Linked DNA regions of Schizosaccharomyces pombe. The protein of the gene in region 2 interacts with the protein of the main gene of each other region in a biochemical or structural test. Each region holds a gene or a part of one and is shown on either strand. Other genes may lie near its edges.

Region 1 (4,534 bases), on a different chromosome or scaffold from region 2:
GTGCATTGAATTGTTCCAAAATGTCATAAAAGGGACTTTTTCGAAATCGTATTCGCGAATGAACAACTGGGGCGAAAGGACGGCTGTATGATCTATTTCCAGAAGCTGAACTAGGTGGAGCAATTGGAGCAGCAGCACTATATATCTGATATGTGTTGTACTTTAAGATACATACGGCACTTGTAACATCGCCATCGATTGCCTTTTTCAATGCTTCCCAAGAGGTTGTGTTGTTTTCTATAGCTATCCTCTCTATTAGTTGTTTAATTCTGGTAATGAGCTCAGCTTTTGTTCCTGAAAGACGAAGTCCAAAAACACGAAGTATATCTTTCAGTTGAGGTATAATAAGACCAGTTTCCAGTCGCTTTAGTACATTCTAAACATTCATTTTGTTAGTTAACTTGTAAATATCTTATTATTGGGCTTACTGGAAGCTCCTGTAAAAAGTTCGCCTGGTTCATTGAGTTTTTAGACTGCTTGCCTAAACCGTCGATTTACACATATGTTATATGCAATGACTGCTTCCGTATAGGTATTTGAAAGACAAAGAAATCAAATTTTAGCTAAAAATACAATGAATTATATTTATTCCTTGAATCTCTGCAAACGCCTGGTTGGCAAAACTTGAATTTAATATTTGAAGATAAGGAAGTATATGGCAGTGCGGTATGTGATAATGTAAGAAAACAAAAAAAAAACGGGCAAGTGAGCTTTACTTGTAGTAATAATTAAATAACAATATAAATGAACTTTTGATGAATTTGATCGAATGAATGAGGAAATTAACTTGGAAATTCCAAAAAGACATGAAAAGTAATTTCTAACATTGGTTAAATGATGTTGATTATAAGAAAATATGCGATCAATCAGTTGACAGTCCAATGATTGATTAGACTACGGGCAGCCTCAAAATCAATTCTTGAAACCAGTTGACGACCGAAACTCTTCGCGTAGAGACGAGAGCAATTGATCTGTAATGAAAGTGTTTTTTCATTGATTTCTTTATTATATTGACGGGAGCTCACATATGTAGATTGAATATAATCCAGCATGTTTTCGGGAATATTAGCACGCATGTTCCACATGTGAAAAAAATTACAAAACTCTTGCAGCTCATCCGAATCAGTTGGAAATTCAATAGTGTCCGGAGAATCGCCTCTACATCTACAACCGACATCAGCTGGCAAAATAGATCTTCCATGGCTTAATATAATTATTCGAACATTACTGTGAACGGTAAAAGAACTGAAAGGATAAAAAAATGTTAAATCCTGTTGAGATATTAGGGAAGACAAAAACTGAACGTTACGGCATCCGACATCGTTTAAGGTTCCACTCGATAGTTCAGTTTCATCAAGAACTATAAGGGTGCCAGGAGCCACTTGCAAATGGCTAGTATCTAATGTCTCTCCATCACTCAAGGGATAAAGCGGCTTCCTGTTAAGCTCGGCGACATTAACTTTTTGAATCACCATTCTTTTTATCAAAGGCCGTAACACAGAAACTAACTGGGACACTAATTCAGAGGTGCAATTTGTTAAATTTAAAGTAAAACCACCTATAACCAAACCAGTGGTTTTATGAACAACGTTGGAAAGAAGAGCAAGCATAAGACTTTCCGCAGCTATATTTTCACCAAGGACTTTTTCAAAATATTTTAATATTTTTGGTCGAATGATCTCAGCTTGCTGAGGAGAAGGGGCTTGAGTAGCTGATTGCGTATAATCCTTAAAACATAACATGTGTAAAATGGGTAAACCATCCGAGTATTCACTTGGTTCTTCATAAATTCCAATAACATCGATTGCTTGACAAACTTGAACTTTAGTTTCCATTCCGCCATAGCATTTAACACAAACGCCGGTATCATTACTTGCTTGTAAGCGGTTTGAGTACTTCAATGACCGTTCTTTCAGACTCTCGCTTCCCCAGTTTCCCAAAGCTTCTATAACAGGAAGAGTTCTTTCTCCAGGAACATTTGTCAGAAACAGTGAATATCTTTCATCTAGGACAATTTTAGATTCATCTAAATGCATTTCATCTTCGCTGAAATCAAGTATGTATCTACAGCCTCTCCAAATGTTTTCATTTACCTCTACAGCTCCAGCAAAAAATTCATGCCCAAAATTGGTGTCTTGCACCATACCTTGAAGACGAAGTAGTTGACCAGTCTTTAACTCAGACCATTTGCAGTCAAGATAGTTTGGAATCTAAATATTCAGTGTCAAATAAGAGAAAAAACCACTTAACAAACCTTTCTTATTCTTTCCTCTGTAGCGAAAATATTAGAAACTTCTTCATCGATGCCTAAAGTGCCTTGTAAATCGGGCTTAGATCCTGCAAACAATGCATCCTGAAATCTTTGAAGAAACGATCTTGGATTTTCGATAAAAGAATCAGATAAAGCAATTACCATATTATAAATATATAATTTTATCCTTTAAACCTATTGAAACCAGTAATGATAAAAGATGTTGATATTGCAATGTGCAATGTTCATTTCACGTGAGCGGATTGACTTTAAGTACCCTTTTCTATGGCGTTGCATATACCTAACGATGTACTAATTGCTGTATAAATTCGCTTAATAAGAAGCTTAATTTATTAAGAAACAGAAGGCGTGAATTTAAAGAGTTATCTATTGCTTATTACTACTCTTAAAAGAGAAAAATATTAGAATTTTACAGATTATTGATCGTTTTTGTAATAATATAAATATATTGATGTGCTTGTTTTCATCATTTGTGTCGATTGTACAAACATATATTTTAAAGCTAGCTTTGATAGTGCATTTAAGAATAAAAAAAATTTTCAGATTTACATATTAATGCTCTTTTCTATTCGCGATGGGTGAAGTGACTACCATGCAGTGGTTAAAATACTCAACAAATTTACTAGTTCACTGGAACTCAGTACTGATGTTACTAGTTCAATAACACTGAATATGAGTAATGCAGTATCATCATCAGTATTTGGAGAGAAAAATAACTCTGTAGCTTATGAGCTGCCATGGTATGTATATATTATGAGCAATTAAAACGTCCTTTATGAAGGTTTTAGTGTTCAGCTATTACGATTGCTTCTTGGTGACTCAGGCATCTTTTCATAATTTAAAGGTTCAATATAATATAGTATGCTGATCTATAAACTTATAGGGTCGAAAAGTATCGTCCAATCGTCCTGGATGACATTGTTGGTAACGAGGAGACGATTGACCGACTTAAAGTTATTGCCAAGGAAGGGAATATGCCTCATCTAGTTATTTCGGTAACCTATTTTTTTTTAATTATTATTTATACTACATGCTGACTTATATTTATAGGGAATGCCTGGTATCGGAAAAACGACGTCTATTCTTTGTTTAGCACATGCATTACTTGGCCCAGCATATAAGGAAGGTGTATTAGAATTAAATGCTTCAGATGAACGAGGTATCGATGTAGTGAGAAATAGAATTAAAGCATTCGCACAGAAAAAAGTCATACTGCCACCTGGAAGGCATAAGATCATTATTTTAGACGAAGCAGATAGTATGACGGCTGGAGCTCAACAAGCTTTGCGTAGAACTATGGAAATCTACAGTAATACAACGCGTTTTGCACTTGCTTGCAATCAATCCAACAAAATTATTGAACCTATTCAATCGCGGTGTGCAATTCTCCGATACTCACGTCTTACGGATCAACAGGTTTTACAGCGTTTATTGAATATATGTAAAGCGGAAAAAGTCAATTATACAGATGATGGTTTGGCTGCCCTTATCATGACAGCAGAAGGTGATATGCGTCAAGCAGTGAACAATCTACAGAGCACTGTTGCTGGATTCGGTCTTGTGAACGGTGAAAACGTTTTCCGGGTCGCCGATCAGCCTTCACCTGTAGCGATACATGCCATGCTAACTGCTTGTCAATCTGGAAACATCGACGTCGCCCTTGAAAAACTTCAGGGAATATGGGATTTGGGGTTCAGTGCTGTGGACATTGTCACTAATATGTTTAGAGTAGTAAAGACAATGGACAGTATTCCGGAATTTTCAAGATTAGAAATGCTTAAGGAAATTGGCCAAACTCATATGATTATTTTAGAGGGTGTGCAAACCTTGTTGCAGTTAAGTGGTTTAGTATGTCGCCTTGCTAAGTCACAGATGAAGCCGGAGTCTTTTATTATTTAGTTTAATGGCACCAGTCTTGGTTCAAAGTCTTGATGATTATTAAAATCAGTAATACCCCAAGTCATATAAAATATCAAAACCCCTAACAATAGTAACGTGTAATAAATCCTAGTCTGATTTCTGTTTCCAATTTTTCCGTACAAAGTTGGCAGCCCCATTGAATTACAAAAAGCATGTACTAAAAATGAAGGAAATAAGCTATGCGTGGAAAGGAATAGATGTGTTGTATACCATCCAAAAACTGTGGTGTATGAAAACTGAACAACAGTTTGAAGAGCGGCAGCTATATATGCATTCGGATAGGCAAGTAGAAATTCATAGGTATGATGAATATGCGCCATTCCAAACAGCAGAGGCGCAACA
Region 2 (5,082 bases):
ACTTTTTCTTTTAATAAAGAAATTGAAGAAGATGGGTCAAACAGAATCATAAATTGATTATCTTGTTCACCATCTTTGATTATATGAAGCCTTAATGTAGTTCTCATTTCGAATATTCAGCAAATTTCTTTATTTGATTCTTACGGAGAAGTGGATCCGGCAAACTAGTTATAATGGAATTAATCAGTATTAAAAAGACGTTAAAACAAAGTAAGTTATTTAAAATGGAATGCCCATTTCTTGACACCAATGGGTATCCAAAGTTGGTTGCTCTAAGGAAGTGCGTAAAGTTCTATTCGCAATTTACTCGGCATGACAGCAGGAAGGGTGGGACAGCAGTGATGAACAAGTTAAAGGTGTAAAATAATGCTAAATGTCAAGAAATAAAAACTCATTACTCATTCCTACGACTCGAGCATATTGACACGTATCTTAAGGTTTTATGGTCCTTCCAAATCTAACGAAACATATTGGCTTAATATATCTTCCTTTCAATTGCGTGAATTAACATTTGAATACAAGTAAATAAACTATCATAGATTAAAAGAACGACAGATGTATTAGTCAGAATTAAAGAATATTCAACAGAAAAGTAGTTTGACGTCTCAGAATAATTTCTATAGGTTGTAAATTAGCTTAAAGCAATTAATTGGCAGAAAAATTAAATGATAGGAGTTATCTATTAGTAAATTGTTAATTCTCCATATGTAAATCCGGATCGAGGAACATTATTGTTTGACCATTGTTTGTAGTTAAAAGAACACCAAGGTCTGTATATTCCTGTATTGTATTTATTAAATGATCTTCAGTAAAACCCTTAGCAAGTACGCGTTCACGAATAGCACGTAGTGTAAGTGAGCGTTCATTGCCTTCAACATCTGGTATGCTATTAAGCATGTCTCGAATAATTTTATATATTTTCGAGGTAATAGTAGTATCGTGAGAACTAGGATCCAAATCATCGTATAGTGATGACTTTGAAACAGACATTAATCTCAAAGCTTCATCAACATCGCCAATCTCCACTCTATTACTGAAACGCAAACGAGCTAATGCTTGTCCCATTCGCAAAATAGCGAGAAGTGTACGTGGAGTAGTGTGAGCGAATTGACGCTCATTGGCTTCATCACGCTTTTGGTTTTGTCGAAGTTGAACATAAGCACCAGTAACATAGTCGCATACATCCTTTGGTACGACTGGGCGATATTGTCTAGCAGAAGAAATATAATGCCTAATCATGTTTGGATCTAATGGTTCAAAGTCCATTTTAGGTTGTTCGTTATGCATGTGAACATATGTTACGTGTTGTGCCAAATGCTCGTCTGTTTCACGAGAAGGAGTATCTAAAATTAAAAATAAAATATCAAACCGGGAAAGCAGTGCAGCTGGAAGATTTATATTGTGGATTGGTGCCACTTTCGGATTATATCGTCCATATAAGGGGTTCGCAGCGGCCAAAATACTTGTTCGAGCATTTAAAGTCGTAGTGATTCCTGCCTTTGAAATTGAAATAGTTTGCTGTTCCATTACTTCATGAATTGCTGTACGGTCACTTTCATCCATCTTATCAAATTCGTCAATGCAGCAAATACCGTTGTCAGCAAGTACTAAGGCACCTCCCTCTAAAACCATTTCATCCGTCACTGGATCACGCATTACAGCAGCAGTTAAACCAACACCTGAAGATCCACGACCTGTGGTGTATACTCCTCTCGGGGCAACCTTCGAAATATACTTTAATAATTGAGATTTTGCGACACCAGGATCACCAGTTAAACAAATATTTATGTCACCACGAATTCTCATTCCATCCCCTAACTCTTTAGTAACACCTCCGACAAGCAACAGAAGTAAAGCTTTTTTAACATCTTCATGTCCATATATCTCGGGAGCAATGGACTTGGCCAGTTTTTCGTACACATTGCCTCCTTGATTTAATTCAGCGATAGCAGCCTCCGATTGAGGAGTTTTTTCAATATTTGTGTAATTTTTAATGATTTGTGAAACATAATGGCATTCTAAGTAAGTATCGGTTAAGAGCCCGGCGCGCATTGCTCGAAAACCAGTATACGGAGTCGGCAAAAATATACCAGAAATATCAACGATATCGCCAGGATTTACAGAGCGAGTGATAGCACCATATAAGTGGACGGTTAATGATCTAGGGATATGGCCAATAGGTACTTGGTTCGTTAATTCTTGTATTTTTACTTCCTGAAAAGGAAGAAATTTACTGGCTCTTGTGCTCATGAAAAGCTGACCTTTTGCATCATTCTTTTTACATTCATCCGAAGGACATTCAGACATTGGAAGGAATGTCTTCTGACGGATTTCTTGAAACACTTCATACCCACATCGATCACATGTATAAGCATTTACAGTTAAGCTAGGCTTAACATCACTTGTACGAGTAACTATACCACGGACAGTCAAAAGAGATCCCAAGTTTTCGCCTCTTAAATCACGAACGCTGAATGGTTTTTTGTTGCGAGTTACTGGTCGAAAGTATAAGTCATAACCTCGGGTTAATTCAGGAGGAAATCCTTTATGCTCAGGGTCTATATTTTCATTCCTTTGAACACGTTGCTGCATAATTACATCAAGTACTTCGTTGCGATAATTAATTTCCACAGTAGGAGGAGGCATCAACGCATCTGCGCACTGCGAAAAAAGTTCAACAAACCGTTTAGCATTAGATTCAATATTATGCAAAAGCTGAGTATCACTTGGATCGAACTCGTACAAATCATTCAAATCAACATTAATAACATTTGACTCTCGATTGGAGATTTTTTGTAGTATATCCATATACTTTGATTTTAAAAAAGGCTCATCACCTGCATCCGACATCGAAATATCCTGATTTTGTTGTCCATCTTGAACCTGTTCCTGCTTGAAGTGGGATAGAAAATCCGTAATTTTATGTTGACATTCTTCATACTCTGGGATTTTTAAATCTATGGTGGGAAGTGCCATGCTTTTCAAACCAAAAAAGTATCCCAAAACTTTTCTGCTGAATTAGCAAAAAATATAAAGGTTCAAAAAGAAAGCAAGGGTATTAAGTAAGGGTAAGATACCAAGAAAGGTTCTTCTTTAGGTTGTTTTAGTTAGTTGGTAGTATGAATCAACGCGAACTCGTAAGGTAACAAAAATGTAAATATTGTAACTTAGGGCATATACAAATTGTCATTGACTCTAAAGAAATTGCAGTGTATAATTTTTTTGATTCTCTACATATTTCCTTTTTAATTTATTACTCTCGCAGCAAAAGTAAACATTCAGTTTGATTTTAAAAGCCACTATGTAGTACTGTTAGAAATTTTTTTTGGAGAGTATTCACTATGTATAAATAAACAGTTTATTTGTTTTAAATTAATAATAATCATTTTGCCAGACAATAAATTGGTCATTTTATTTTCATAAATGTATGTCTAATTGTTTTCATTGCTTCAATCGATTGTTATTTTAGCTATCCATAATTTTTCCTATTTTTCTTCTACACGTTTTGTATTTCTAAACATGAGAGTTATTTAGACTACTGCCTAAAATTTATTTCACTTTTATTTTTAAAAATTTTTTTGAAAACTTATGAAGTAAGTTAGCAGGGAAATTCTCAAAAGAAATGCGATATCAACAATATAAAAACTTCGAGTAGGGAACTTTTTATTTTTTGTTCGGTTATTTCAAACATCAGTGAAGAATGAATATAGAAAATTCTTTATTGTTTTATACCACATTGTAAACTGTACCTAAAAGCACAACACGCAATAGAAACGTGCTATTGGAATGCTTATTTATTTTCTGTTTACAATAGACGAATATAAGTATTTCTTTTTTTTTTTACGAAAGGATCAAGGTATTAAAATTATTCACAGTATGTGGCTAGGTCTCTGTCGCGCTTATCTTTTTTTAATTAAGCAATGTCTTTATGTACGGTCGCGTCGCATTAGAAGTTTCGTGATTTGTAATATTTGAGCAGTTATAAAGCGCTCTACATCTCGGATGAAAAGGAGATTGTGAAGAGATATTTATTTCTAACATCATATCGTACTACTAGGCTGATATCATTGCGTTTCATCTACAACATAAATTGAGGTACCCTGACGCGTCTTAAGTATTACACTGAAAACTACTTTATTAAATTATAACAAAAAGTGAGAAATTTAATAATTTATTTATTACATAAAGTAATAAATTCATTTCTATTTTTTCAATTATTTGAGCCTAAATAATTGAATTTATTCGACTCCACGCTTAGCATCGAATTCTTCGATTTAAGCTATCACATTTTTCTATTAACTAGCTACAATTTCCTGCTTTAAGAAACCGTTATTATAACACACCAGAAGGGAAAGGAAGTAAGCCCTTGCTTTTCCCATTTAATTTGAGATTGTCTTCGAATTTATTTCATTTTTTTTACTCGTTGCGTTTGTCTCCAAATATTAATTAGTACATTGTTTTTTTTCAACGTTATTCATCTCCATCAGCCTTTGACTTAGTTTAACTGCAATTTTCCACTCTGTAAAATAAGGCAGCATTTTGTCTATTTTGCCTTCACTCTTATTCATTGTGTTATCATACCCAAAGTGCGACAAATTAACATCCACAAAAAAAACGGTGGTGTTGAATATACTACAATACTGTGCACTACATTGGATAACCTACCTTTGAAAGTTTTGCCATTAACCACAACACATCTTGGGAAGCCACATCGCAAGAGATAATCGCGGTGGAAGAAAACTTTTGTACTTATTCTATATACAGATAAATCCGGTCAGTTTGGACGAAATCTCATTATTAATCTTACAAAATGGGCCTTGAGCATCTCGAAGAATTCAGTTATCCTAAGGAACATGGTGAAGAAGTCGAGTATGATAGCGAACAAGGTGTTCGTAAAATTTATGTTAAATCTATTAAAGAAACCTTTAACTTTGATAATGTAAGTGAAGAAGAGAAACAGGAAGGAGGCGACTACTACTTGGGCAAAAAGGAAGATGAGCTTGATGAAGTTGTGCTTCGCCCTAATCCTCACCGCTTTGTTTTGTTTCCAATTAAGTATCACGAAATTTGGCAATTCTACAA

Evidence for each region.
Region 1: the proteins of mcm7 (region 2) and mcb1 form a complex in vitro, tested with the Schizosaccharomyces pombe proteins (one study listed by BioGRID).

The regions. Positions count from the first base shown.
Region 1 is NC_003424.3:904,766-909,299, reverse strand, and holds mcb1 (mini-chromosome maintenance complex-binding protein mcb1), read right to left. Parts: upstream 2,504-4,534; 5' UTR 2,417-2,503; coding exon 2,255-2,416; exon of another isoform or gene 2,211-2,254; coding exon 867-2,210; 3' UTR 501-866; downstream 1-500. Other genes in the region: SUMO E3 ligase Pli1, read right to left, coding at 1-376, 429-461; DNA replication factor C complex subunit Rfc4, read left to right, coding at 2,945-3,012, 3,156-3,267, 3,323-4,171; rce1 (CAAX prenyl protease), read right to left, coding at 4,168-4,534.
Region 2 is NC_003423.3:3,716,945-3,722,026, forward strand, and holds mcm7 (MCM complex subunit Mcm7), read right to left. Parts: upstream 3,096-5,082; 5' UTR 2,977-3,095; coding exon 694-2,976; 3' UTR 633-693; downstream 1-632. Other genes in the region: nucleolar protein Dnt1, read right to left, coding at 1-107; ribonucleotide reductase small subunit Suc22, read left to right, coding at 4,811-5,082. UniProt on the Schizosaccharomyces pombe protein: Acts as a component of the MCM2-7 complex (MCM complex) which is the replicative helicase essential for 'once per cell cycle' DNA replication initiation and elongation in eukaryotic cells.